Ovis aries: one gene and its partners. The protein of the gene in region 1 purifies or fractionates together with the protein of each later gene. This does not show direct contact. Links are inferred from orthologs where the notes say so. Each region holds a gene or a part of one and is shown in the gene's direction. Other genes may lie near its edges.

The links. Proteins that work in one complex are often made in the same cells at the same time.
Region 2: the proteins of TNRC6A (region 1) and protein argonaute-1 purify together in Homo sapiens (affinity purification with mass spectrometry; 10 studies listed by BioGRID and IntAct, with this or other methods). This does not show direct contact. The link is inferred for Ovis aries from reciprocal best matches to the Homo sapiens genes TNRC6A and AGO1.
Region 3: the proteins of TNRC6A (region 1) and CNOT7 purify together in Homo sapiens (affinity purification with western blotting; 3 studies listed by BioGRID and IntAct, with this or other methods). This does not show direct contact. The link is inferred for Ovis aries from reciprocal best matches to the Homo sapiens genes TNRC6A and CNOT7.

What each region holds. Positions count from the first base shown.
Region 1 is NC_056077.1:22,980,556-22,991,941, forward strand, and holds part of TNRC6A (trinucleotide repeat-containing gene 6A protein), read left to right. Parts: intron 1-4,833; coding exon 4,834-7,410; intron 7,411-8,626; coding exon 8,627-8,803; intron 8,804-9,506; coding exon 9,507-9,682; intron 9,683-10,805; coding exon 10,806-10,838; intron 10,839-11,386.
Region 2 is NC_056054.1:10,844,475-10,854,144, forward strand, and holds part of protein argonaute-1, read left to right. Parts: intron 1-3,667; coding exon 3,668-3,827; intron 3,828-4,008; coding exon 4,009-4,099; intron 4,100-5,195; coding exon 5,196-5,390; intron 5,391-7,764; coding exon 7,765-7,899; intron 7,900-8,516; coding exon 8,517-8,618; intron 8,619-8,945; coding exon 8,946-9,145; intron 9,146-9,384; coding exon 9,385-9,493; 3' UTR 9,494-9,670.
Region 3 is NC_056079.1:19,173,328-19,182,997, forward strand, and holds part of CNOT7 (CCR4-NOT transcription complex subunit 7), read left to right. Parts: exon of another isoform or gene 1-150; intron 151-204; exon of another isoform or gene 205-411; intron 412-466; exon of another isoform or gene 467-542; intron 543-1,851; 5' UTR 1,852-1,944; coding exon 1,945-2,061; intron 2,062-3,880; coding exon 3,881-4,074; intron 4,075-7,636; coding exon 7,637-7,798; intron 7,799-9,319; coding exon 9,320-9,464; intron 9,465-9,670. UniProt on the Homo sapiens protein: Has 3'-5' poly(A) exoribonuclease activity for synthetic poly(A) RNA substrate. Its function seems to be partially redundant with that of CNOT8.

The sequences.
Region 1 (11,386 bases):
CCATGTATCTTCTTTGTGAATAGGTGCTGTGTAATACACTGCTATATTCTTCTTTTATTTTTTTTTCCTTTTGGCCATGCCTCCTGGCTTATGGGATCTCAGTTCCCCATCCAGGGATTGAACTCGGACCCTTGGTAATGAGAATGCAGAGTCCTAACCACTGGACTGCCTGGAATTCCCTCCCAGCCCACCCACTTTTAAAAAAATTGGAATATAGTTGGTTTGCAATGTTGTGTTCGTTTCTGCTGTACAGCAGAGTGAGTCAGCCACGAGTATACATATGCCCTCTTCCTTGGATTTCCTTCCCGTTTAGGTCACCACAGAGCACTGAGTAGAGTTCCCTGCACTAAACAGTCAGTTCTCATTGGGTGTCTATTTTATACATAGTAATATACATATGCCAATCCCAGACACCCCCCCCCCCATTGTGTCCATACGTTTGTTCCCTCCATCTGTGTCTCTATTTCTGTTTTGCAAGTAAGCGTCTATACCATTTTTCTAGGTTCTGCATGTCCTTTTATTTTTTAATACTCTTTTCGGGGTATAGTACCAGAGCTGCCCTCAGTCTTCCTATCGTAATTTTGTTTGAGAGTGGGGTGCTGATTTTAGATTTCACATGTTTTTTTCTCAGTTAAATGCAGCCTTCCAAATCTTGGTTTAAATTTTGTGTTTTGCGTTACACTGTGGAACTGAACTGTCCACTTTCCTCCCACCAGCGCAGGGCTTTACAGTCTCCCTGTTCCTCAGTTTCCTGGGAAAGCGTGACTGCCATCTTCTACTTACTAATGTTGCTGTATGTTTATCTTCCAGATCATTTGTAATGGTGGATTCTGGCTTCCTTGTGTGTTAAGGGAAGTGCATTATTTGACTTCTTTCAATTCTGAGGTAGTCTCCAACTGTGAAATGTTTTAGTTATGATCGCTGAGGAGTCCTGCACTTCTCACCCCACTCCCCCTGCCCCGCCCCGCCCTCCCCTGCCCCACACACACAGATTTTTCTGTCTAAGCTGAAGTGTTTTTCATAACAAAAAGTGGTCTTTGTGACCTATCGTTGGTAAATGCAGTTTTTTGAGGTAGCCTCTTAATTTATGTTTTTGGGAAAGTATCAAGTATGTTCCAGATTAAAAATAGAGTTTTAGCTAATAATTACTGATGGCATCTCTTATTTTCCTAAAATACATGGGCATACACAGCAAAAGGCAGGTATGGACCATAATCTCCTCCAAAACTAGGTCATGGCCAGCCAGATTGTGAGAAAGTTTCACTACCATTAAAGATTGGTTTGCAAAGTGTATTCTGCTGTTTTCTGGGGCATTTTGCTTTTGATGTATTCAGACATTAAAAAAAAAAGAAAAAAAACCTTACCTTTCTTGTAAATAGCCAAGTTTTTTTTTTTTTTTAATGGTTTCTTTGCTTTTATGTATACGAAATTCTCATCACAAATTCATGGTTTCATCTTTAACACTTGAATCATTTGGATTTACTTTTGATAGATCATCTCATTTAGGAAATCTTTAAAAGTATTGAATATTCCTTTTCTTTGGGTGATTTAAAATACTAACATTTGGCATATAACCTTAGATAATATACGTGGGTCCATTTCTGGATTAATTTTTCTGTTCTTACATACTCTGATAGGACGGTGCTGTTTAACTAGTGCATGATAAAAGTGGATTATGGATTTTATTTATATGTCTTATGTGAATTTTTATATCTCTTTAATCAAATTACTGACTCTTGTTAGTAAATTTTTATAATTAAACTCAGAAGGAATGTTGTTATATCTTCCTGTTGAGGAGCAAGTTTATATTTAATCAGGTTATCTGCTATGACCTACAATAAAATTTAATCGAATATTTTTGTTAACTTTATTTCAAAGGTTCCTTAATACTTTTTGTGGTTCCTATAATTTGGATCCTTTTCCATCCCATTTTCTTGTTGGTTATTTTTGGTGCATAGGAAAACTGGCTTTTTACATGTTAACCCTTTTTGTTCCTTTTCTACTATCTTGACCTCGTTTGGGGGGTCATATTTCATCAGTTTGTGCTTCTAGCACAAAGTTGAGTAGTTGTGCTGATAACAGATTCCTGTCTTTTCCCTGTTGTTAGGGGAATGCTGATTATGTTTCACTGTTAAATCCCAGGTCCACTCCTTTGTTTTCAATTTGGGTAGTTTTGTCTGTCTTTCTCAGTCTTGTTTTCTTATTCCTGCTGGGAAGTGGCAAGACACACGCACGCAAATAATAGATCAGAAGTACTTTTGCTACAGACCATGGCTTGACTGTTTTAGATTTGGAGAAAAGTGGAAGGTTTGGGACTTGCTGATGTTCTGGATTTGCTATTCACAGGAAAGAATCAAGGGTGAATCTTAGGTTTTAGAAAACTTACCAAGATGAAGAAAACTGGAAAAGAAGCAGGCTTGCTTTTTCCTTGGAGAGGAGGTGCCTGTGGAGGTATAATCTAGGAGTTAACAACCTTTTTGAGATATCTAAGTAGAGATTTAAAGTAAGCACGTTGGTGTATGGTTTCTAACTTTGCTCTTTATGAGAGAGGTATGGTAGAATGAATAACTTTGCAGATAGGACTGAAAATGATAATCATTGATACACATTAATTAGTGAAAAACTAATGGCCCTCATTTGTATCTGAATCAGATACAGTTCAAAGCAATTTTAGTTAGCAATCATTTAATCCTTGCAACTCTGTGAGGTAACTACTATTACTATTCCCACTTTATAGATGAAGAGTCCAAGGCACAGGAAGATTTGAGGGTCTTACCTGTAGTCACACAGATGGTAGATAACAGAGTGACTTTTAAACCCAAGCAGGCTGGCTTCGAGAGTTTTACTCTGCATCACTGCACCAAACTGCCCTTCATAGAGCACTTATTTGAAGCCAGCAGTGAGCTGCATACTTTACGTATGAAACTAGGTTAACTAACAACCAGGTAAAGAAGTCCGTATGTGCTGTGTATATTCCCATCTTACTAGTTTGGTCATACAGCTGCTACACAGACCTCAGTCTGGGTATCTCTAGAGTCCCAGCTATGTTCTGAGCCACCTTGCTTTTTTACTTTAGGATGAATTCTGATTTTCTCACCTTATTTTCTACAGCCCTTGAGCCTCCATTTCTTCATCTGTAAAGGGAAGGTAATGCCTACTCTAGGGCTGTTTCAAGGATTCAGTGACAGTATTCCACATAGAGCTTGTGCTCCAGCATGCTGAATGATATTGCCAGCAGTGCAGGCACTGTTTGTTAGTGAGACTGATGTTTTTGTGTCCTTTATTTCCTGAGAAAAATCCTCCTCGTGGGCACTGAAAGATGAAAGGCTTTCCTTGGAAGCTTCGAACTGCCAAGTAATTTTTAGTTAGAGAGTGGAAGTCAGAAGCACTTAGAGAACTTCTAAGAAAATATATATATTTAATGAGTTATGTATACGTTTTTGGTCTCTGTTTAATCCCCCCCCCCCTTGTTTTTTGCTACTTGTTCTAGCTCTTCACCTTTTGCTGCTTAGCAATTATGCTTTGAGAAATAATGATGCATGTTGAATCTGATTTTCCATATCAGCAATACCCTCGTGGGCTTTTCTGGTTCCTCAGACAGTAAAGAATCCCCCTGCAATGCAAAAGGCCTGGATTCGTCCCGTGGGTTGGAAAGATCCCCTGGAGAAGGGAACGACTACCCACTCCAGTATTTTGGCCTGGAGAAGTCCATGACAAAGGAATCTGGCAAGGTTACAGTCCATGGGGTTGCAAAGAGTCGGAGACAACTGAGTGACTTTCATTTCACTATACCCTCACAATGAGTGATATTTTACTTTCTGGGCTTATAGCACCTAGTGTTTGGTTCATTATATCTAGGACATGACTTAAGCATATGTATTACTTACAAACACTAAATATGATGCTGATGACTACTGTAGTAAAGAACTACAATATGAACAACCCCCTGAGGACAGTCTAAATGCCCACATCTTATCTCTGAAGATTCCTAACTTAACCAGATTTTTAAACTGAATGAGAGTGATGCATTTGGGACAATTTTATAAGCAATAAAATAACTAGATGATAATACATACCAATAAGTCTGAAGTTTATAGGATTATATGACTAGTCATTAATGTCTTCAATGTCAGCAGTTGAATTTTTAATCATAACTTTGATCTTTAGCATATCAACTGTTTTTTGTTGTCTTCTAATAAACATGACTCTTAACACATTTTTATGAAGGCAGTATTTCTACTTGTGTGCTGTATTTTTCAGATTGAATTTGAACACTAATGAAATGCAAATATAATGGAAAAGGCTTTATAATTCTTACAAACTTGTTATAATACCCAAAACAGTTGTGTGAAATAGCTATTCTAAAAACATGTGGATAAAAAAGGATTCCTAATATATTTCTAGTACATTTCACCAAGTTTGGCCTGTCCACTTGTCATTTCCCATTTGCATCCCAGCCCCTTTCTTTCTGAGGTTGGGCCTCCAAGCCTAGGTTGCTCCATCGTCCTAATAAATCATTTCTACCTTGTTCTTCCTGACTCCAAATTCTTTATTTGCTGATATGTTCATTCATTCATTCACATATATATTGAGGAGCTATTATGTTCCAGGTACTACTCTGTGCTCTTGGAATAACATAATGAACCAAGCAACAAATTTCCTGCCTATGTGGAATTAATTATTGAATACGGAAAGTTCGTGGCTGGGATATAACCAGTGCCCTTGTAATTATATTGCCAAGCGTTATATTTTGTTGAGGAGCCATACACATTTATAATATATTCATCATTTTTCCAAACACTTGATTTTTTTTGTGTTTCTTCTTTATTCTAGATATAAACCACAATACTCCAGGATCCCATTATGAAAATTCAGAGCGGGGACCTGTGTCGTCTACAAGTGACTCTAGTACAAACTGTAAGAATGCTGTTGTGAACGACTCCCCTGAGAAAGAAGCATGGCCCTCAGCCCCTGGCAGTGATCCGGAGTTGGTTTCAGAATGTATGGATGCTGATTCTGCCTCCAGTTCTGAATCAGAGCGACCCATCACTATCATGGCTTCAGGGAGCACAGGTGGTGAAAATGATGGCCTTCGGAATAGCGCTGGACTTGGATCCCAGAACAAGTTTGTGGTTGGTAGCAGCAGCAATAATGTGGGCCACGGAAATAGCACTGGGCCGTGGGGCTTTTCCCATGGAGCCATAATAAGCACATGTCAGGCCTCTGTGGATGCTCCTGAAAGCAAATCGGAAAGTAGCAACAATAGGATGAATGCTTGGGGCACTGTAAGTTCTTCATCAAATGGAGGGTTAAATCCAAGCACTTTGAATTCAGCTAGCAACCATGGTGCCTGGCCAGTATTAGAGAACAACGGACTTGCCCTAAAAGGGCCTGTAGGGAGTGGTAGTTCTGGCATCAATATTCAGTGCAGTCCCTTAGGCCAGATGCCTAACAATCAGAGTATTAACTCTAAAGTGGGTGGTGCTTCCACCCATGGTACCTGGGGAAGCCTTCAGGAAACTTGTGAATCTGAAGTAAGTGGTACACAGAAGGTTTCATTCAGTGGTCAACCTCAAAATATTGCCGCTGAAATGACTGGACCAAATAACACTACTAACTTTATGACCTCTAGTTTACCAAACTCCGGTTCAGTACAGAATAATGAACTGCCTAGTAATACAGGGGCCTGGCGTGTGAGCACAATGAATCATCCTCAGATACAGGCTCCCTCGGTTGTAAACGGCACTTCCCTTTCTCACCTTAGCAATGGAGAGTCAAAAAGTGGAGGCTCTTACGGTACTACATGGGGTGCCTATGGTTCTAATTACTCTGGAGACAAATGTTCAAGCCCTAATGGCCAAGCTAATGGTGACACTGTGAATGCAACTCTAATGCAGCCTGGCATAAACGGGCCTGTGGGCACTAACTTTCAAGTTAACACAAATAAAGGAGGCGGCGTGTGGGAGTCCGGAGCAGTGAATTCCCAGAGTGCATCCTGGGGAAATGGTGCAAATTCTGGAGGAAGTCGAAGAGGATGGGGAGCTCCTGCACAGAACACTGGCACTAATATACCCAGCGTGGAATGGAACAAACTGCCTAGCAATCAGCATTCCAGTGACAGTGCGGATGGCAACGGTAAGAAGTTTACAAACGGATGGAAGTCTACTGAGGAAGAGGATCAGGGTTCTGCCGCATCTCAGACGAATGAGCAAAACAGCGTGTGGGCCAAAACGGGAGGTACAGTGGAGAGTGAAGGTAGTACAGAAAGCACTGGACGCCTCGAGGAGAAGGTGACTGGGGAAAATCAGAGCAGAGAGAGAAGAAAAGTGGACCAGCACACGTTACTCCAAAGCATTGTGAACAGAACTGACTTAGACCCCCGTGTCCTGTCCAACTCTGGCTGGGGACAGACTCCTATTAAGCAGAATACTGCCTGGGATACTGAAACATCACCTAGAGGGGAGAGAAAGACTGACAATGGGACAGAGGCCTGGGGAAGCTCTGCAACACAGACTTTTAACTCAGGGGCATGTGTAGATAAGACTAGCCCTAGTAGTAATGATACCTCATCTGTATCGGGGTGGGGAGATCCCAAACCTGCTCTGAGGTGGGGAGATTCCAAAGGCTCAAGCTGCCAGGGGGGATGGGAAGATGACTCTGCTGCTACAGGAATGGTCAAGAGCAATCAGTGGGGGAACTGCAAAGAAGAGAAGTCCGCATGGAATGATTCGCAAAAGAACAAACAGGGATGGGGTGATGGACAAAAGTCAAACCAAGGGTGGTCCGTCTCTGCCAGTGATAACTGGGGAGAAACTTCAAGGAGTAACCATTGGGGAGAGGCTAACAAGAAGTCTAGCTCAGGAGGTAGTGACAGTGATAGGTCTGTTTCTGGTTGGAATGAACTCGGTAAAACCAGTTCTTTTACATGGGGAAATAACATTAATCCAAATAATTCATCAGGCTGGGACGAATCTTCTAAACCGAATCCTTCCCAGGGATGGGGAGACCCTCCAAAGTCTAATCAGTCTCTAGGTTGGGGAGATTCATCAAAGCCGGTCAGTTCTCCAGACTGGAACAAGCAACAAGACATTGTCGGATCTTGGGGCATCCCGCCGGCGACAGGCAAACCTCCTGGTACAGGCTGGCTGGGAGGACCTATGCCAGCCCCAGCGAAAGAGGAAGAACCCACGGGCTGGGAGGAGCCATCCCCAGAATCCATACGTCGCAAAATGGAGATTGACGATGGGACTTCAGCTTGGGGAGATCCCAGCAAATACAACTACAAAAATGTGAACATGTGGAACAAAAACGTCCCAAATGGCAGCAGCCGCTCAGACCAGCAAGCACAGGTACACCAGTTGCTACCGTCTGCAGGTACCATCTCAAACAAAGAGGCAAGCGGTGGCTCCGGTAAGTTCTCGTTTTCTGCAGTCTTGATTATTTCTCATAGTGCTTCATAGTCGCAGGAGCCTTGTTTCAATTTACTGATTTTGGATGTGCACACAAACCAATTTTTTTTTTAAACTCTAATCCAGGAGAAGTTTGTAGGGAAGAAGATTATGGGGAAGGTGTTACTGTCAGGAAACGGCTCTGCCTTTGGTAGTATTGGCTGTGAATCCCACGTACTCCATTCTCTATCCAGAAAGTTATAGACGGCAGGATTGGAAAAGGGACGTCAAGTGGGAATACTGTGCACTTTCCTCATCTCACTTTTTCTGACTTGAGCCGTTAACATTTTGGTTTTATTGTTTGACTATCCCCAGAAATAAAACAAGTACCTAAAAGTACAGTCCTCTAAAAATCTAGATACTGTAATTGGCCATAGAAGGGATTTATTTAAGTAGGCATGTTGAATACAGCGTGTATGCGTGTGACAGTGACATTTTCACTAGTTGTCATTGAGATGTGCTGTCTTTTTAATGGAGGTTTCGTTGAATAATAATCCTGTTGGATGTAGAGACAGAAGTGTTTTCATGAACTAACATTTCAGTGCCTAATTCTTTTTTCTGAGTATTATTAATTTAGATTTAATTCTAAGAAGAAATGTGTGTGTATCTAAGGGGAAGGCTGTTGTGGTTCTTTTAAAACAATGTATTTATGGCTTAGCTTAGCCTTAGTTGATTACGGTTGGCTTTGGACAGCCTAATAAATTTTAAGAAGCGTTGTCCAGCATATACAAGTAGGATGCCTACCTATCATTAGTCTTATATTAAACTACATTTTCCAGAACAGTGATGTTGAAAGGTTGTAGTTATAATAAAAGTTTTATGCACATTCTGTTAGCCAGCTTGATCACCTGCTTGACTAGGTTTGACTCAGAATGACTTGGCTTTTATAGGAATTAAATTCATCCTCAAAGGAGGATGACTTACCATAATTAAGGTTATTCAAAAGAATCTGCTGTGCACCTTGAGGGCAATTCTGAAAGAAGAGGTGAAAAAAAATTATAGTTGGATTATAATAATGGAAAATTATTTGTCGTCTTTACCTAAAACAGAGGCCATCCTTTTTGCCCATCACAGCATCATTATTTAATACACAAATGTGAAGGTCTTCTTTTGTTCCCTAAGTATTCCTTATTACCCCTTCAACCTGCTGATGACTTCTTTTCCCACACTTTCTAAAGGCTGGGGTGAGCCCTGGGGGGAGACTTCAACTCCAGCCACAACTGTGGATAATGGTACTTCAGCCTGGGGTAAACCCGTAGACAGTGGGCCTAGCTGGGGCGAACCCATTGCTGCGGCATCCAGCACATCCACGTGGGGCTCCAGCTCTGTTGGTCCACAAACATTAAGCAAATCTGGTAAGTTACTGATAATTCCTGGTTTCCGTTGGATAGCAGTGGTGATCTCATTGACTGTAATTAAGTAATTGGATAACGTTTATGACGTTGATAATGTATCCACATATTATTGTAATTGTCAAGCAACTTTCATGCTATCCAACACAAGAGACTGAGTATAATAGTCTTGGGGACACATATCCAAGTGGTCTGGCTCAGGTACCAGACAGGTCCCTAAATACTGTACAGATAATGAGCAGAGTTCAGGAAGGACCCTCAATATTCAGACAGACATTGTTACTATTCTTGTAGGGATTCCAAAGACCAAGTATAGTGATGAGATACTTTTTGCTTCTGACCTGCATGCTGCACTTTTGGGCCATTCTCTTTAAAAATATGTATTAAGATGAATTTTTAAAAATTCCATTCATCCTCGTGGCCCTAAGCAAATAAACGAACATGAATGCCACCAATGTCCCATGTTTAGGAACCCTCTGATTTGTAAAAGCATGAGAAGTGTTCTATTGAAAATGTTACTAAAAATAAATTCTTGTTTAGCTTTTAGCTCAGTATTTAACATACATTTTTGCCATGCAAACCTGGGAAGGGAAATGAAAGAGGGTCTCTAGGTTGTCCCCCGCTCTGCCCCGTTAATGAGTGCTCATCCTCCGGAAAGAATTGTTTGACTGTAGCATGTTTCTTTTTGTCACAAATCCACAATCAGGGCCAAAATCTATGCAAGACGGCTGGTGTGGTGATGATATGCCCTTGCCTGGAAATCGCCCCACTGGCTGGGAAGAGGAAGAAGATGTAGAGATTGGAATGTGGAATAGTAATTCATCTCAAGAGCTTAATTCATCTTTAAATTGGCCACCATATACAAAGAAAATGTCTTCGAAGGTAAACATTTCAAGGGCAAAGCCCTTGAAACTTTAAATTCCAAAGGTAGTTGCCCCACAGAAGATTACGTGCTTGCCTGCCCACTTATGGCAGTCAGTATAGTCCAGGCAGTCCCCAGCTTAGGTAGAGCTTCCTGTGTGGGCGGCCACCTAGAGAGACCTAGGACCACGGGAAGGTCCTTTCTCCCCACGGCTACAGCTTGGCATCTCTCGCCTCCTCCCCCTCCACCAGTGCTACCTGGGACAACCTCACCCCAGGATGGTGCCTGCAGTGGGGAGGATGAAGAGAAGGGCAGACCTCCATGCTGACGCCTCCTGTCCCACTGCCAGTCCATCTCCCATTCCACCGCCTCACCTGGAGCCCCGAGCCTCCGCGTTACCCAGAGTTTCCGTGCTCGTTATTCATCCCCCATCTTCGTCCCTTCTCTACTCAGTAAGGTCCTGGGACTGAAATCTCTAGGAATGAGTAGAGCACTTGGTTTTGCTTTTATATGTAGACAAACCTTATTCCAGACCTGGCTCTGCATCAGAATTGTAAGGCCTTTGTTAAAAGTGTAATTTCCTATACCCTAGGCCTACTGTTGATTTGGAAATTGAGCCAAGTTTCTTGTTCTCAACAAGCTCGCCAAGTGTTTCTGATACAGAGCCAAGTTTGAGAAGACTAGTGTCAGATTTTCTTGGGGCTCATTTTCAAAATATGTGCTTAGTCCCCCCAGGTGATTCTGATACATCCTTTCCAACCTGTTTGAGAATGAATTCTTTTTGAGGGACCTCAGAAGTCAGATACCAGTAGCCCATGGCCAGGGTCCCTCCCTTTTGAGCCTGGGGCTCTAAGTCTAGGACCTGTCATTTTCATTTTGAAGACTTTTCATTGGGCTGCAATTGCCTGTTGCCTCACCGTATAGCGTATGAATCATTTTCCCGTATTTTACATAAATCATTTGATCCTCATAACCTTCTGAGATAGAATACTGATAAGGAGTTTGAAACTGGAAAAGGTGGTGGCTTGCCCCAAGTTGCATAACTAGTGACAGAGCAAGGATTTAAGTGTAGGTCTTCCAGTTCCAAACCCTGTGTTCTTCCCACTGGACCATGCTGTTTTATGACTTTGTCTTTCCTTACAGGGTCTGAGTGGCAAAAAAAGGAGAAGGGAAAGGGTGTGTAGCCTTTTTACTCTTTCTCCTTTGTTTCTACTAGTAAAAATCTTTTAGAAAGCAACTGCAAATATTTATTTAGCCTCTGCTGTGTGCCAGGTACTGTGCTTAGTGCTGGGGGTTCAAAAACACTAGGATAAGTGCATACTTCCGGGAGCTCAGGGTTTCGTATGGGGGTGTGAGGAGTGCTCTAAGGAGTGTTAGCTTGAGTTTCGAAGATGCCTGGGAGTGGGATGTGTTAGGAAAAGTGGTAGCCTGAAATACAGACTGTTGGGGGGAAGAGGTGACAGTCTACTCCACAGTTAGATTAGGGGCAGATACTAAAGTGTTTTCAGTAGCATGCCAGATAATTTGAACTTTATTTAGCATAATGTATGGAGCCAATCAAACTGAATAAAAGGCAGCATCAGTTTGGTTTTTAAAATTGGAAGAAAGACCAAAGTTAATGATCTCATTTAGGAAACTTCTGCATTCATTCAGGTTAGAAAGGACGGCCTGAATTGGGAAGCAGAAATAAATATTTAGTAGAAGGGACTGATTTGAGAGACATT
Region 2 (9,670 bases), on another chromosome or scaffold:
AGGACAGCATTTTGGTTGGGTTTCATTCTGGGTAATGTCACCTTGCAAGGAGTAATCCCAATTTCCTCACAAACAAATCATCATGTCATTGGTCTCAATGTGATAACAGATTAACCGCAAAATAGAAGCAAGCAAGCACAACTTCCAACGCCTGGAAATCAGAAGCTCTTAATTGTTTAGTCTTTTTTTCCTCCCAAGCAGGTATTTATTGAGAGCCTACCGTGTATTGGCCATTTCTTGGTGCTAGGACTTCAGCAGCAAGACAAAGTTGTGCCCTGAGGAGCTTACATTGCAGCTGAGGAGCAAGATAAGAAGTGCTATGAAGAAAGAGTAAAGATGTAAAGAAAGTAAAGGAAGGATAAGGTGATAGAGATAGACTGATTTTAGGTTAGACTGTCTACTCTTTTTATGCCCCACCTTGCCCTTAAAATTCTATCCTTCACATTCTAATTTAAATGTACTTATTCCTGGAAGCTTTCTCTTATCATCCTACCTTTCTGGATTCATCCAGAAATTGCGTCAGTTTGCTGATCAATTAATTGTTTTGAGCATGGAGTGGATCTGATTCTGCTCAAAATCGTATTCCCTCTGTACATACATACCCAAGGAGGAGCCTTCCACTGACATGATACTCAGTACTTATGAAAGTTGGTTGATCTCCAATCCACATCTCTCTTGGGCCTTAAATTAATGTCCCTTGTTTAGAAAATAAGGATGCTTTTTAGGAGAATTGCCTTGCATAATTAGCCATGTTTCTGGTTCCCTCCATAAAGGGAGAATCCAATATTTTTGGCCTCCCTGTGTGGTGTGGTGTGGCATGCTTGAAGAAGTCAGGTGTTACTCAGAGAGTTTTCCCTACCCTGGGCTCAGTCATGTTATACCTCTCTCCAGCTTCATACCTTGATCATGACCTTGGGTTTCTTTCACTTACATGTTCTTCTTTGATTATACCACTTAGGTAATGGGGGCATTTGACTAGGAATTAAGCATGCACATAGGAGGAGCAGTCAGATTCTTTGAAAGATCCTTCACCATCCTTCCTGAGAGGCCAAGTGATAGTCAAAACAAGGTCCCCATGCGTTATAATTGCCCCCAAAGTATAAAAGGACAGTGTCACATTTCCAGTTCTAATCTGCTAACATGCCTCATCCTGTCCTTAGTATTTTTAACTCCTTCCTCTCCACTAAATTGATATAATTATTTAATGTAATTTTTAAATTGAAGTATGATATACATACAAAGATCTTTTGTGGTCAATTCAGTGAATTCTCAGTGTCACAGCAGGGGTACCTAGTTCTGATAGTAAAACATTACCACAATCCCAGGCTACTGATTACTACAACTTCCTAACAGTGATAACCACTGTTCTTTTGGCTTCTAACACCATAGATTGGTTTTGACTGTCTTTGAACTTCATATGGATGGAGTCATATATCATGTACCTTTTTACATGTCTGTCTTCTTTCACTCAACATTATGTTTGTTAGATTTGTCCGTGTTTGTTTAATTGTAGTTTGTTACAGTTTTTCCGTTATATGATTTTAACACAATTTACATGTATTTATCCATTCTACTGTTAATGGACATAATTGGGTTGTTTTAGGCTTTTACTGTTATAAATAATGCTTCAGTGAACATTCTTGTACATGTCCTTTGAATATATGTGCCCATTTCTATTGGGTGTGTAACTAGGAGGGCTTTTAAGTGTACAGACGTATACTTCCATCAGCAGCAAAATGAGAGTTCTAGTCATCTACATCCTTATCAGACTTGGTATTGTCATTTTCATCTTAGCCACTTATACGGGTGTTTGTTAATACTGCATTGTGCTTTTTAATTTGATTTCTCTGGTGATTGATAAGGTTGAGTATCTTTTTATATTTTTATTGGCTGTTTCATTGGCCTCTTGACAGGTGCCTGCTCATGTCTTTCTCTTTTTTTATTGGCTTAGATGTTCTTTATAATTCCTTTATTAAATATGATGTGTACTACACATATCTGTAGCTTGCCTTTTTACTTTCTTAATGGGTTCTTTTGTTGAACAGAACTTTAGAATTTTAATGTAGTCCTGTCTATCAGTATTTTTCCTTTATGGCTAGTACTTTCTGAGTCCTGTTTAAGAAATCCTAAGGTCACGAAGATACTAGTCTGTGTTTTCTTTTAAATGTTTTTTTTAACCTTTCACATTTAGAACTAGCTTGTGTTTGCCAGAAATGGCTGTTGCTTTCTCTGTCTCTTGGCAGTGGTTCCTCTTTTGGTGCAAAGCCTAGAATCTCAGCCTCTTGCCCACATCTAGAATCAGCAAATGTACCCAGGGCAGAGCAGCTGCAGCAGATGGCTCACCTCTGTGAGATTCTCTTCCTCTCTGGAGTGTTAGCTCTTGCAGTTCTTTTGTCTTAGCACCTCTCTACTGCCTTCAGAAAGATGAGTTATGAATTGTATTTGGTTTTCTTGAATGTTCTCAACAGACACTGGTTTCCTTCTAACCATATCTCTTGGAGATAGAAATGATCCCTTAGCTTTTTAAACAGTCTCAAATTTCTCCCATTGAAAATATATCGTACTGTTTATTGACCCCATGTTTCCTCCATGGTATTTGATATTACCAAAAACAGTTATTGCCTCTGTTCATTAATTTTTGCCTTGCTGTCACAAAATTCTGGTCCTCGTTTTACCTCTTAGCAGCATTTGACTTGGTTGAACACTTACTCCTTCCTGAAATGCTCTTTCTTCCCTGGCATTCATGCTGCAACCCTGTCTTGATCTTCCTCCTAGATATCTGGATTTTTGTCCTTTGCAGATTCATCTTCTTCCTGTTCTACAAGTATTGTGAGCTCCTCAAGAATTGAGTTTAAGCGCTCTCCTCTCACTCCATTCACTTCCTTGTTGATCTCAAGAGCATGTCTTCAATTACTACCTGTACCTAAATATGTCATATTTTACATCTCCATTTCAGACTATTCTTGAACTTCCAATTGCTGTACTCAGTTGCCTGATTGATATCCTCAATGGGATGACCAAAAAGCTCTTCAAACTCAAAACGTTTCAAAAAGAACTTAAGATCTGTCTATTCTATTACAAAAGTCTAGAAACTCATAAGTTATCCATAAAATTATTTTCCCTTACATAGCCTCTTGAATCTGCTTCTCTCCATCCTGACAACTGCCTTCTTGAACTACCCTCATGTCTTTCCTAGGTTGTTCTGATCACCACTTTCTTTCTCTCACACGGCAGTTCCCTTGCTCTCCTTTATATCTGGTTTGCCCTTTGAGCTTCTTCAGTTCGTGGCTCTGTCCCCTATCAGTGCGTTTTGCCTGCTCTTCCCTTGGCCTGGAATGCTCTCTTCCACATTCTCTCTCCCTTGTAAGTTCTTTTCTACCTTTAAATTTCAGTTCAGTGAAGAATCCTTTCCTGGCTAGGTTATTACACTATATCATATGCTCTCTGTGTCATAGCTCTGTGAAGTTTCCTGTTGTAGCATTTATCATTGTTACGCTTTTTATGATTTTTAAAATTAGTCACTAGATAGTAAGCACTATAAGAGTAGGGACCCTATGTGTTTCTGATCACCATTGTGTTCCCTAGCACCTCCTATACTTCCTGGAATCAAGTAGACATTCAGTAAAAATTTGCTGAATGCACTAATCAATTCTCTCCCTGATCATAGCTGAAGTGAAACGTGTTGGAGATACTCTGTTGGGAATGGCTACACAGTGTGTGCAAGTGAAGAACGTGGTCAAGACCTCGCCTCAGACTCTGTCTAACCTTTGCCTGAAGATCAATGTCAAACTTGGTGGCATTAACAACATCCTAGTCCCACACCAGCGGTATGAATGCTATTGCTTACTTGCCCTTGTCAAGCAAGGTAATATACTGGAGATTGATGAAAAGATAGGACACTGTCCAGGCAGAGTGAGTCACAAGGGAGAGGGGACCAAAGTGGGAGCTAGATGGTGCCAGGAAAAGAAGACCCAACTCCTCACCCTTTGTTTTCTCTTCCTTGTTTAGCTCTGCAGTCTTTCAACAACCAGTGATATTCCTGGGAGCAGATGTTACACACCCACCAGCAGGGGATGGGAAAAAACCTTCCATCACAGCAGTGAGTGATACTTTCCAACTTGCTCGTAAGGTTCTCTTCTGAGCCCCCAAGACTACACCTGATTTCCTTCCCTCAACTCTGGTGCTTGACCCGTCACAAGATCTTTTTATTGCAGCTGATCATCCCCATTAACCAGGCCCTTGGTTTTCTAATAAAGCTAACTGTATGACATCTTCTTTTCAGAGAGAGCAGTGAGAGAGTAGAGTGGGGCCAGAGACTTGGTTATGTCTCCATCACTTTTGTTCTGTGTTTGAATTTCCCTCTGTCTCCCTGTGCCCACTTTTGGGATGTGGGAAGGACCATATCTCCTCTCCGAAGTCGCTTTTAAGTGAATTCCTTAGTTACTGGGATTGTCTTTTACTCTTTCCTATCTGTACCCTGACTCATCTAGTAGATTAGATGGCTCTCTAATCCCTCTCCTGACAGCTCTGCTCTGTCTCACAGGGCTTCTCAGTTGACTGATGGGACCAGGCCTTCTTTCTCATTTCTTTTTCTTGAACCTTCATGTTTCTCTAGGCAGACTGGGCCTATCTCAGTAAATGTGGGGAAACCCTATACTATGCTTATCTTTATTTTCCTTGTGGCCATCCATCCTAGTCTCTGGCCTCTGTCCCCGTAGAGAATAATGTTGTTCCTACCATCCACAAGAGCACTGTTCACTGTAGTTCCTGGGGTAGATTAGCACTTGAAGAAAAGATTAGCTTGTTTTTCGGATGAAGTCACTCTTTGAGCTCACAGTGCTGAACCATCACATGCCCCTCTGTAAGGGGTGGGAAAATCAAAGTTAGCAAGTACCTACTGTGAGTGAGGTCCTGTGCGTGGTGACTTACATGTGCCACAGCAGTACTGCAGGCAGGTGTTACTCTTTTTGCCATTTGAGAAGAGGAACAAGAAGATCAGGTGGGTTAAATCACTTCCGTGTGTGTGAGAGAACAGAGATTGAAACCAGGGCTATTGAATCCAAAAAACCTACATGTTTGATTTCTTAGGTTGGTTTTTTTTTTATTCCCTCTAAGAGATCTTTCCCCAAACCCAGAACCACCAGTGTTGGGAGGGTGGAGGTTTTAGGAGCTGATCCTGCCTCTTTGATTATCAGGTGGTAGGCAGCATGGATGCCCACCCCAGCCGTTACTGTGCTACTGTGCGAGTGCAGAGACCACGGCAGGAGATCATTGAAGACTTATCCTACATGGTACGTGAGCTGCTCATCCAGTTCTACAAGTCCACACGCTTCAAGCCTACCCGCATCATCTTCTACCGAGATGGGGTTCCTGAAGGCCAGCTTCCCCAGGTAGGGCCCACAATAAGTCAAGAAAACCTTCACATTGAGGCCGTAGGGCCTAATGGTAGCAGAGAGAGTACTGCTCCCTTTCTTAAGCTGTTGACACTGGGAGGTGCTTCTACTTACGGAGGTTTGCTAAATGGAATTGGCTTGGGAGCAGAGATTCCAACTGAGAGATGGTGTGTAGAGTCATTGATAGACCTTCCTTCTTGTAATAAAAGACTCTCAGTGCCTATTTACTAGTTAATTCATGGTGAAGACTGATTCTTTAGACCAGTGGTTCTCCAGCTTTGGGCTTTCCTGATGGCTCAGCTAGTAAAGAATCCACCTGCAATGCGGGAGACCTGGGTTTGATCCCTGGGTTGGGAAGATCCCCTGAAGAAGGGAATGGCTACCCACTCCAGTATTCTGGGCCGGAGAATTCCATGGACTGTATAGTCCATGGTGTTGCACAGAGTTGGACACAGCTGAGCGACTTTCACTTCACTGTCCAGCTTTAGCATCCATCAGAATCTTTTGAAGGGCTTACTAAAGCAGTTTGCAGAGCTCCACTCTTAAAATTTCTGCTTCATTGAATCTAGGATGGGGTATTAAAATTTGTAGCTCTGATAGGTTCTTAGTGATCGTGCTGATCTGGTGGCCACACTGCTATTGACCTTTACAGTGTTCTTAACATTCTGTCTCCCTGCTAAGCCTTCATAGCTTATTGTTTAGACTAGTATCTTCAACTGATCTCCTTTTCGACCATTTAATAATAAGTAGTATAACTACCATTTACTGGGTATCTTACGTGCCATGAACTGTGCTAACCGCTTTGTATGTGCTCTATTCAGTGCTTATAAGAATCCTATGAAGTAATTATTATTCCACCTGAGAGATGATGAAACTGAGGCTTGAAAATGTTAAATGATTTCTTCAGTGTCATCCAAGCTAATAAGCAGTGAAGCTAGGATTCAGACAAGTTGTTCAGATTCCAGAGTTCATGCTCTTAACTATTATGCTCAATTTCCTCTGAGTCATACAATGTTTCCTAAAGTACCAGGTAAATTTATAACATGTATCTGTTCAGAGATGTCCTGTGGCTTCATGTAGCCTAGGGTTAAAATTCAAAGTGCTTATGCAAAGCAGTCAGCAGTCATTAAGCCCCTGTTAGGTTTTTTATGCTTCCACTTAATTATTTGTTTTAGTCTTCACAGACAGTTTTGTGAGGATGATCTTATTAGTAACTAGAAAATGAGACTTTATTAAAGGGGTTAAGTAACTTGCTCAAAGTAATAAAATTAGATAAAGCTTGGGGTTTAAAAACTTAGTTCTGATTGATTCTAAATTCTATTTACTTCTACCAGATAGTTTTTACTCCCTATATCTGACATCCAAGGCAACAAGGCAGCTACTGCCTGTGCTTTTTCACCTGTGGCTTCTTTAGCTAGTCTGTTTTCTTATGATACTGCTTTTTTTATAGAACTGAATTTATCTACTCCCTCTACAGCCATTCCTGAACTCTGTGTCTACTCTTTGGTGGTGGTCCCAACCCTGTCTGCTCCCATGGGGAAACGCCCATTTTCCTCCTGATCCTAAAATTGTCCTTACTCTGGACATGGTGATTTTTCTGTGAACCTTGATTCTGTGTCTTGATGTTAGGTCTCACTATGCGTAGGAACCAGGTGAGTGCTCTCTGCGGATACTAAGCCCCGCAGCTAGGTTTTATAGGAACAGAGCAGGTGAACTGTCTACAGGCACACCTCGTCTTACTGCGCTTCGCTTTATTGTGCTTCACGGATACTGTATTTTTCACAAATTGAAGGTTTGTGGCAACCCTGCGGCCAGCAGGTCTGTCGGCACCATTTTTCCAAGAGCATTTGCTTACTTCATGTCTCTGTGTTACACTTTGGTAATTCTTGCAATGTTTCAGACTTTTCATTATTATATTTGTTATGGTGATCTGTGGTCAGTGATCTTTGATGTTACTGCTGTGACTCACTGAAGGCTCAGGTCATGGTTAGTATTTTTTAGCCATAAAGTATTTTTAAAATTAAGGTATGTACATTGTTTTCATTTTTTTTTAAGACATAATGCTCCTGCACACTTAATACACTACAGTGTAGTATAAACATAACTTTTGTATGCATTGGGAAACAGAAAATTTGTGTGACTGACTTTATTGTAGTGGTCTGGAATTGAACATGCAATATTTCTGAGGTATGCTTCTGTAAGGCTGATTTTTGGTAGGAAGGGCTTATCCTCTCTGATGGTTGGGTGTCAGCTTATAAAGGGAGGCTGAACAAAAAGCTGTATAACAAGTGGCAAACCCTTAGTTCAGAAAGATGAATGAACTCAAGAGGAGCTGTATGTCTCTTTGTCTCCCTCCTCACCCTGTGCCTAGATCCTCCACTATGAGCTGCTGGCCATTCGCGATGCCTGCATCAAACTGGAAAAGGACTACCAGCCCGGAATCACTTATATTGTGGTGCAGAAACGCCATCACACCCGCCTTTTTTGTGCTGACAAGAATGAGCGAGTGAGTGAGGGATTGAGGAAGTCACTGTTCCCTGGTCATGTCTCCCTTCTCTGAGTATGAAAGGAGCTGTGGAAATGAAATCTGGGGGTTACTCCTTGGCCTGTCCATCGCCCCTGGCACCTTTCTTCCCCCTGACTCTTGGGGTCCTTCCTCTGCTGCTTCCTTTCCTTTGTTTCCCCCTCTCCCCTCCTTCCCTTCTTCCCTTAAACTTGATCTCCCTCCTCCTAGCTCCCTGGCCTATAGACCCCATATATAGACCAGCTCCCAGAGATGGGAAAGGGAACTTCCATTTATTGAACTTCTATGTGCCAGACACTGTGCAAGGCGTCTTCCTCACAGCAGCCCTGTGAGGTAGGTACTGTTATTATCTCCAGTTTAACCTCAGAAAGGTTAAATAACTTGCTAAGATCACACAGCTAATAAATGGTGAAAGCAGCACTTAAACACAGGTCTGTGTAACTTTAGAAGCCTGTTATTTCAGCGCCCAGTACTCTCTCTGGGAACAGCAACTTCTGCCTTACTTTTGGGATTCTGATGGAGTCAGGTTAGAATTGAGTTGAGGCCCTAGTTAGGGCCAGGCAGGTCTTGGGATCTTGGTTGTCTTTGTTTCTATACAGATTGGGAAGAGTGGTAACATCCCAGCTGGGACCACTGTGGACACCAACATCACCCACCCATTTGAGTTTGACTTCTATCTGTGCAGCCACGCAGGCATCCAGGTAGCTGGGCTATGTCCTGGGGTATCCAGTGGGTCAAAGATAATTGATCATTCCCATTGCCTTTAGAATATATCATTCATTACTGAGGGGCATTCAAATCAGGATTGTTCTCTTAATAAGCCCTTTGTGCACTTGAACGTAAGTGTACTTTCAACATCTTAGTCAGGTTGCTCATACAGTGGGTGCTTTATGACAGAGGTGGCTTTGTGTCTGCCTTTTCATGGGTGGGCCTTCCAACCCAGCCATACTCATAATGGTGATCCTATTCCTTACTGTCAGCCATCCCGTCTGCTCAACCTGGGGCCCCTCACCTTCCTATCTTCCCAGGGCACCAGCCGACCATCCCATTACTATGTCCTTTGGGATGACAACCGTTTCACAGCGGATGAGCTCCAGATCTTGACGTACCAGCTGTGCCACACTTATGTACGATGCACACGCTCCGTCTCAATTCCAGCACCTGCCTACTATGCCCGCTTGGTGGCTTTCCGGGCACGATACCACCTAGTGGACAAAGAGCATGACAGGTGAGGCCTGGAATCAGGCTGGCTTCCTTTTTGCTTCAGCCTCTGGTACCAGACCCTCTCAACTTTCCGTGGGTAGAAGGAAACGAGGATTGTCCAATTTGGTGTCCTGGGGCTTGTCAGCCCAAATCTGGGTTGGGGTTTTCTCTTAATTGGTATGGGAACTGGTACCCTAGGGGTGGGGGAAGGGTTAGTGGCAGCTCAGTTCACCAGGAAGGACTTCTTTCATTTTTCCTTTTCAGTGGAGAGGGGAGCCACATATCGGGGCAGAGCAATGGGCGGGACCCCCAGGCCCTGGCCAAAGCCGTGCAGGTTCACCAGGATACTCTGCGCACCATGTACTTCGCTTGAAGGCAGAACGCTGTTACCTCACTGGATAGAAGAAAGCTTTCCAAGCCCCAAGAGCTGTGCCGCCCAAATCCAGAGGAAGCAGGGAGGAGGGAGGTGGGGTAGGGAGGAATGCAGAAGGCCCTGTTTCCTTCCGCAGAGGGGGCAAAAGGGTGGGGAACAGGGCCAGTAAGCCAGACC
Region 3 (9,670 bases), on another chromosome or scaffold:
GCTATTGTCAGTGCAGCAGCTGAAAAGAAGGGAACTCGCCGCTCGAGACTGGCGGTCGGTCCTAACCTTCGCGGCCCTGACGCCCCAGCCAGCCAGCCAGCCAGCCCGACCGCTTTAACTCTCCACCGCCTCAGCCTCCGTCACCTGCGTGCCCCGCCCCCTCTGCGGATGGCGTCATCATCCGGCGCCCCTGCCCGGACGCGCGAGAAGCGACAGCGCAGCGCGGTGCGGCGAAGCTCCGGCTCCCCTTTCCCCCTTGCCCGGCGAGCGGTGTCTATGGGGCACCCGCTGCTGCCCCCGCCGCTACCGCCACCGCCGCTGCCGCCGCTGGGTGCTGTCTCTATGGCGAGGAGGAGGAGGAGGAGCGCGAGCTCAGCGACACAAGTAGATCTCGCGTCTACCTCAGACTTGGTGGGGGGGGAGGGGCGGGTTGGGGAAGTAGGAAGGGGGCGGGAACGGCGAACCTGAGAGGGCGCGCGATGGCGCCAGCTGGAGCGCGGCGGCCGCTGGGACGGGCCGAGCGGCGGGTGCGGGGGGGGAAGGTAATTGGGGCTGGGGGGTCTGTCGAGGGGGTGGCGCGGGGTGATGACGCGAAGGCTTTGTACCTGGGGCTTCAGTGGTGCGGGACGGAAATTGGGAGTGGAGGGCGGTGGCCTAGACCGTCAGCTCCTCGCAGTCCTTGCGGCGGGGCTTGGAGTCAATCGGGCTCCAGTCAGTGGTTATCAGCAGCCTTCGCGCTGGCTCTCTGCCAGGGAAGAGAGTTATCTATGACTTGAATGTGTCTGTACTGTCCTCGCGTTTCGTTGGGAACCCGCTGTTCGGAGTTGGCTACCTCCAGTAACGAGAAGGCCTCTGGTGCCTCTTCAGGTCTTCTGGAAGTGTAGTAGAGAGCGAGGTGGAGGAAAGCAATGTTCAACGACAGGGCCTTTCCAAATTGTGTGTGTGTGTCTGTGTGTGTGTAGCCGAGTGAAGAGGGTTATAAAGGGAGTAGCCCTTCGATCTTTGGTTTCTGTTCTTAGAGCACGCGAGGTTACATTTGTGACTGTAGAGTTATAAGAAGAGGTCACAACTCGTTTTTACACTTGTCTGTTACACGGTTTTTTCAAACTTGTGTGAAAAGCGAAAGAGGATCCGGAATTTCCCCGCTTAAGAACCAAAATGTTGGTCTGTACTGTTACCATGAAACCTGTGTTTGTAAGAAACGTGACGTGTGTTTGGTAACCAGGGAAAATGCTCGGATTTTTAGGAAATTAGAGTTTGAAATGCAGAGACTCTATCGCTTCCCTTCTTTCTCCCATCAGCAGTTACAGACATTGAAACAGTTTCTGTGGCTATTCTTTATTGCTCAGAAAGAACTTCTTAAAAGAAAAAAATTATTTACTTTTGGCCCCTCCCATCTGACCTAAATAAATTCTGGTAAATTTTGTAGTTAAATCAGACTTTGAATGTTCAGTTAGGAATAAAAGCAAGTACTAATACTGCCTTTGCCCTAGTAACATCTGATCTTGTTACGTCTTTCAGTATGTCACTTTTCATGTTTACCTGAAAAGGGATGTCTTTATAAAGTTTTATTCAGAGAGTGAGTTGAATTCAGAGCAATTTTTTATTAATGGGAAGTTTTTAAAAATGATTAGTGTGTATGCAGAAAACACTTTTTACCTAACATTAGAACCAGGAAACCTGTGTTGTCCTTTTCCTCCTACTGATTAGTGGTGTGACTTTAGACAAGTCACATCCTAAACTTTGATTTTCTCATAAATCAAGGACCTCAAATAAATATCTCTTAGGTTTCTATCAACTCAATCATTCTGTGATTCAGATTCCTGGTATAACTGATTCTTATTTTGACAGGTACACAAATAAAGGATAAAGCATTTACGAAACAAATCTTCAATCAAGTATAACATTTTGATGCTTGGCAGCTAGACTCCTTGTGCCCTCACTATGCCAGCAGCAACTGTAGATCATAGCCAAAGAATTTGTGAAGTTTGGGCTTGCAACCTGGATGAAGAAATGAAGAAAATTCGTCAAGTTATCCGAAAATATAATTACGTTGCTATGGTATGCCTGTGAGCAAAATCTTTAAAATGCCTTTTATGAAAGAGGATTTTAAAACATCTTGAATTCAACCCTTCTGGTTGATTTTTTTTCTAGGTATTTAATGAAAATAATTTTGTCAATGACCTCCCAACTAAAGACCACCAAGAACACACTAGTAATGTGACAAGTTGGGTTTCTTACTCATTGCATTGAGGGAAAATTCATTCTTAGAACCATGGGGTTATTTGCGTAAGCGAGCGAGCGTTAGAAAGACCTAGGAATTGGGGTGTGTGGCAGTGGTTTTAGGAAGGGAGTGAAGAAGTGGGGCTCTGCTCTGAACTGTTGGGAAGCTGGGGTAATTCCACGATAGGATATCTTAATGAGTCTCAACTAGAATGAGAGAAGACTAGAGTGAGGCTAAAGCTGTAAAGAAGCAACAGTCACTTGTTATTTAAGATAGAAGAAGGTTTGATCATTTTTATGGTTTGGACAATGTGTTTTTGCATATGTTCAGTTATGATTACAGACTGGCCTTGTCTGATGTTATGGTGTGCAATTGTTTATATTCAGCAGAAGACCCATTAGGACCTAGCTGTGAATGCCAGGTCTGCTCCTAGCAACACTAAGACCTGATACTAATACCAGATGGAGCTCCTAGATGTCTTTCTCAAACAAAAAAATTCAGATCTTCCGTTGAAGCATTGTTGATCTGTAGTTTTTTGTTTGTTTTTTAATTACCAGTGGAATTCCGTGAACATACTGTGTTGTTAAACATTTCTAGTTTTGTATATACTGTTCACTCTGCCTAGCCTGTCTACTCAATTAATTTTTTTGCTTCTTGAGCACTGTCTGTTTTGACTTCTCTACAGTATTCTAGATTACTAGTTTTGAGAAGAAAGAGCTTAGTATCTTAATCATCCTTTCTCCCCCCAACACTTAGCATAATACATAGCATCCAATAAAGTGGTTGTTGAGTTTCTGAATTTAGAAAAGTTTCCATTTCTCTCCTTTATAAGAATTGAAATTTTGGTTTTGTTCTTAGTTTCTTAATTTGAATTTTACTACTAAAATGATATGTTTATTTTCTTAGCATATTTAATATAAATAAATATGCTGCTTTGGGGAGGGGCAGGTTGGTTGGTTAAAATATGAATATTTGAATGTACACAGATAATGTCCTATTTAATAGATGTATTTTCTTATCCATAATTAGAATGAAGTTATTTTTTATGGTAGAAATTAATAGTGATCATTTATTTCTCAAATGAAAGCAGTGACAACTTTAGATATGTGATAGCTTTCTACAAGAATGAGTGGTGGCATGCTGTCTTTAAGGGTATGTTTTCTCTGGAGTGTAGAGAGTACTGTTTTAGGCCAAAAAAGTAGGAGGGTTTTGGTATTTATCTAAATACTTACTTCAGAAAAGCAATTAAAAAGTATGGTACATTTTCTAGTCTTTTTAACCGTCTTCATTGGTTTTAATATTACAATACTACGAGCATAGTTTCACATACTTGTTGAAAAACATGAATTTGTAATTTTCTTCCTCCTTCCTCAGGAATAGAGTACTTAGTTACATTTATTATGTGTACATTATACATGGTAATTTTTTCCTGATATGATATTTAAAGTAAGACGAAGTCATTAAGTTTGTGGTTTTATGGTTTTAAAAAGTAATACTCTTCCTAGTTAAAAGGTACATTGTAATTGAACATGAATTGTGTAGAATATCACCCCTAACAGGATTCTTCAATGTGTACTCAAAATTAATTATTCTAGGAATTTTGGGATTGTGGTTTCAACCATTTAGTAAGTAATGACCCTTAAAACTATTTTACAGGACACCGAGTTTCCAGGCGTGGTTGCAAGACCCATTGGAGAATTCAGGAGCAATGCTGACTATCAGTACCAACTGTTGCGGTGTAATGTAGACTTGTTGAAGATAATTCAGCTAGGACTGACATTTATGAATGAGCAAGGAGAATACCCACCAGGAACTTCAACTTGGCAGTTTAACTTTAAATTTAATTTGACGTAAGTAGGAAATAAATTTAACCCAAACTTGTTTTTTTTAGTTTAATTTTAGAAATCAATTTCCATCAGGTACAACAAATGAAATTTGGTATCGCTACCCTGGAAATATTTAAAACCTAAAATTTCAAAACTTTGTTTCTTCTTTTTATTATGGGACAAAAAAAAAAAACAGGATAAAGAAGACTTAAATGCTGAAACTTTTGAGTTTTAGAGCTGTTATTTTAAAAGCATAACTGCCACTATTTTGAAATTTGGAAAACTGGGTTTTGAAAATATTTCTTGATAGAAAAAGGATAACTTTACAACATTAATTTTTCTTTCAAACTTTGTGTGCAATTTGAAATATATATGTCTTTGTTGTAAAAGTTATCCTTCTCATGAAGAGATTCTTATCATGGTTATAGTCCATTGTGTGAATAGAAGGCTCATCAGAGGTGATAATAAGATCATTCCTAGAAACTTGGGTGCATTTTCCTTTCAAATCAGTTATTGCGTCAGCCCAGCCCACAGAACCTCTTACAGGTTACATATGGGAGAAGTATTTAGTATCCTCGAGCCTGGTGTTTCTTTTAGGAAACAATTTGGAATCTGAATTCTAACTCAAGTCCTGGGTCACAACCCAGTTTCTTTACTTACAGTACTTCTGTATAATTGGTAAGAGTAGTCTTGATAGCTTAGGGAAGTTTCCAGTGTTTTTGGGTGAGGGCAGATTGTTTACAAACTGACTGTAAGATGGGGATATGCTGAATACATTCTGAGTATGATACTATTCTGCAGTATCCTTCTGTTTGACAGTCTCTGCTTGTTTCATATGATCTTACATCCAATTTGCAAAATAGTAAATGAAGCTGTAGGACAATTAATGGTGGTAGTGGTGGTGGTGGTCAGTCCCTTAAGTCTTGTTCAGCTCATTGTGACCCCACGGACTATAGCCCACCAGGCTCCTCTATCTGTGAAAGTAGGCAAGAATACTGGAGTGGGTAGCCATTCACTTCTCCAGGGATTTCTTCCTGATCCAGGGATCAAACCCAGGTTTCCTGTATTGCAAGTGAATTCTTTATCATCTGAGCCACTAGAGAAGCCCCAGTTGATGGTAGTGCCATTTAAGGACCTCTGTTCTCTGTAGTGTGATACTTAGCATATGTAAGATCTAAAAACAAGCAGGGGTGATGAGCTTAGAGGAGTGTTATCAGTGGTGTAATAGTATGGCTTCTAATTGCATTATGTTTAGCCTGACTCTGTTTTCACTCTGTTGGATTTAATAATATACTCTCCAGAACTTTGTCAAGGGTGAAAGGTACTTATCTCTATTTAGACTGATTAAACGTTTTATAAGTTCTTTAATTCTGAAAATTCCCTTTTATCTTTTTCCTGAAAGGTAACCCTTTTTAAAATCGGTTCTCTACCATTTCATTTGCTCTATATTGCTTTTTTCCCAAGCTGATCATCAGATCCTTGTTCTGTACTAAGGTAGTGCTATGATCTCAGTATGTGAGTAGTAGGTGACCTATCAGGGTCTCAGTTTTGGTAAAATAGACATTTTTCCTTTCTAGAAACATCTTTGGTCTTATAACAACTGCTTTGTTAGTGTATTTTCTGAAAGACGTTTTTTTTTCTCGTACATTTTTTCTCATACAGCAAAACTCATGCTGTAGTTTTATTGCCATTCATCCTAATGTTAATATCTTGAGAGATCTTTAAGGATATAGTGAAAAATATCATTTAGTAGAAAGGGTCAGTTGGAAAATAAAACCGGTTCTACCTAATGTGGAGAAAGAGCACCATGAATCTTGGATATTTTGAAGAAAGGTAAAAATTGACTTTTATCGAGTTCCTAGAATGGATGTGTCAGCAGCAGTGCTAGGTCCCAGGGACATAATGTTGAGGAAAGTTGGTCATGGTCATTATAACTCTTCTGTCTGCTTTCTGTTGCTGAACTCCAAGAATTAGAACTGTTAGGTACTGATCAGTGTTTGGGAATTTGCTCTAAAGTGAATTTGGACTTGATACATACATGAAAAGTAAAGTAGAATATGATATTTGATCATGAAACACCAGAGTACTCACCCAGGTCTCTCTCCTGGAGATGGCAATACAGTATGTCCAGCTGTGGCACTTGTGAATCCATATTATTGACAAGTTAATCTGAGTGATTATTATCATTGGGCAAGTTTGGGAAATACTGATTTAAATAGTGCAGTACTCCCTGGTAATATAACATTGAACAAAACAGACAAAAATCATTGCCCTCTTCAAGCTTAAATTGTGATTAAGAGAGAGCGCGTAAAAGTAAAGTGAGCATATGGCCCAGAATAATGTGAGCCTGGAGAAGGAGTCTCTTATGCCTTTGGTTGGTTATAGTTGCTAGAGCATGTCTCTTAGTGAGCATCTGGGCATGATGAGTGAGATTCTACTTGTTTAAAGTACATGTTTTAGTATAACAAGGAAGTAATATCTGTTGTGTAATTGAAAAAACTTGTATTGGGTTTATTCAGATATCCTTTTGAAAGAGTTTTCTGGCATAATTTTCCAGGGAATTTTGACTTAAGATTAATTGTTGCAATTCCTGTTTTTAAATATTTCATTTGCTAGTTTTATTACTTTTCAAAGGCAATATTCCTTTTGGCTTAGTTTTATTAAAGCTTTTATAGAACTTTCTTTTGCTAAGTGGTAGAAATCAGTATTCTCACAATTTTCAAAGTAAATAGAAACATCCAGTGGGCACTGCATGAAATACTTTCCATTCTCAGAAACATACCTTTATTTTGATCACTTTTTTGATTTAATATAGTATTTTGGATACCTGTGTGCTTGTGCTTGGATATTAAAGATGGTTTTCTTTTTGGCTTAAGTAAAATCTTGAAAGATTGGTTTATATTTAGATTTCCTGGCTTGATTTTTGAGAAGTAATCTTCTAGGAGTAAGGCTGTTAGAAGGAGAAATTAATGCTGCTCCAGCAGAGTCTTTGATTTTAAACAGCTTACTGCTGATTGGAACTGTTTGAGAGGCTCATGGTAGTGAGAGGATGCAACTCCTCCTTCTTTAAGACAGACTGTGGTTTAACGCTGGCACAGCAGGAGTTTTCCCTTCAATCTCTCTCCCTTCTCTCTGCTGAGAACCTGGGAGATAGACACAGGCTTCACCACTGTGGCTGCAGCTCTGTTGGGCAGCATTAAAATGGCTGCTGAGACTGAAAGCCCGGATAAGAACATGTCTGTTACTCTGTGGTGGTAGCTACGGTGAGTAGAAGACCGTTTTTCTTTGTTTGAACCCAGTTAAATTTACTTAATTTGTGAAAGGCTAATGAGATGGATAGTAAAGATTAAAATCTCACCATTGGACTGTTTCAAATGATAATTTGCTGTATAATTTTTCTTCTAAAATTAAGTTGACCTTTGTATTTCAGTCACATTTACCTTCCGTATATATGAAATGTTGGAACAAATGGACTCAGGCCCATTCTCTCTTGATATTTCTGGCACTGTAGTTGTAGATGTCAGTGGGAGAAACATAGTTTGAAATATGGCACTTTTGAATGTTGTCTTTCTTTTTCTCCTGCCAGGGAGGACATGTATGCCCAAGACTCTATAGAGCTGCTCACAACATCTGGTATCCAGTTTAAAAAACATGAGGAGGAAGGAATTGAGACCCAGTACTTTGCAGAACTTCTTATGACATCAGGAGTAGTCCTCTGTGAAGGGGTCAAATGGTTATCATTTCATAGGTAAAAGACTGCATTGCAAATGGTATTTGTGTTACCATTTTCTAGCTGCTTCACACTTGACTTGGGTCATGGTGTCAGCATTTCAGGCTTAGTTCAGCAGAGAATTGGCTGCCATATAGCTCAACAGGCTAATGTGGTCTCCTTAAAGGTTCATTTAACGATGTGGGATCCATTTCAGACTAAGGGAGACAGTATTGCATAGTGGAAAGAGTGGAGGCTGAAAAAACAGACGTTGGTTTAAGTCCAGCAACGCCATTTGGAATCTGTGTTATTACATAGGTTTATTTATTTAATAAATAGAGTTAACATTTTTAAGCCTTAGAATGAAAACATTTATCCATCAAAAAAACAGTTGTTATCTACCGTATGTCAAGCAGTTTGATAAGATTCTAGGAATTAAGTTATAAAATAGGCTATAATCTCTGATTTTATTGTTTATATCTTGATATTCCTTATGGTTTTCAATGTTAAAGCTTTTTTTCCCCTCTTTTTAAAGTAAGAAGTAAAACTCTAAACACTGAATAGAAATTTTATATGTACTGTCACTTTAAAAGGTATGTTAAATAGCCTTTCTCATCAAATATTTAAGTCCCAACTATGTGTCTTAAGGGGAAAAAAATGTCAAGATGTGACACCTGCCCTTTAAAGAAGTGGAGAAAACAGTACATGTGCTTTAAATGGTGGTACAGAAAGCAGCTTGTCTGAAAAATCTGTGGGAGTGGGGCTCTTGGGGGAAGGCATCCTGTGCGAGATCTTAAGGAAAGATTGACAGGAAAGAGAAGGGATGTGATTGTGGGATGGAGTGCAGGGAGGTATAAAGCTGTGGAAAAGCCAGACAGTAGGGACAGGATCTTGATTTGAGTATGTGGGAGTTGGCTTTTTGTTCTCTAGATACTAGTTCTCAGCCTTTACTTGCTTCACTTCTTTCATGTACAACATTCCCACTAGTATCTCTGAGGGATTGAGATAGGAACAAAATTTTGAGGGAAGAGAGTATTTCTTTATAAAATTACTTAAGTGAAAATAATTTGGTAGGGAATTACTGTTTGGGTTTTTGAAATGTATGATTGTATTATATAAATGATGGGAAGACAGACATTATTTTGTCTTCTGAGTGCCAGTTTTTCTGCTGTCTTTGACATTTTTGCCAAGTCTCCTTTCATCTCTATTTTTTGAGACATCTGCTGTGGACAGTTTGATTTTAGAGAGTTCTCTGTTGAAGGATCTGCTAAATAGTAGTTCAGTGACTACAGTCCTAGGATAGTTGTAGAGATTTGTATACTAACATTCCTGATAGATGATATGACAGGTTCTTATCACTGTCTGTGAATGATGGCATTTCCTCATTATAACTGTAAATGTGTTTATTTTCTCTGTTCTTTTGTGCATTTTTTCTGGTTCCTTTCTTTTTCCTCTCCCGTTTATGGTGTGACTCGCTTAAAAGTTGTATTGAAAAAAAATGTTTTTTTCACTTCTATGGTTTTTATGGTCCCTCTTCTGTATTCTTTAACCCTTTCATAGTGGTTATGACTTTGGCTACTTAATCAAAATCCTGACCAACTCTAACTTGCCTGAAGAAGAACTTGACTTCTTTGAGATCCTTCGATTGTTTTTTCCTGTCATTTATGATGTGAAGTACCTCATGAAGAGCTGCAAAAATCTCAAAGTAAGTCTTTAAATGGTTTTATTTGTAATCAACACGCTATTCAGAGCGGGTAACTGACTTAAAAGATGCTGGGTTGGATGTTGATTTAAATCTTATTTTTAAGTTTTATATTAAATGCACATTATCTGATTATACATTGTCATCTGATTCCTTTTTTGCATAAAAAATAGTTTATAAGAAATCCTTATTCAAGGCTTCATTATATA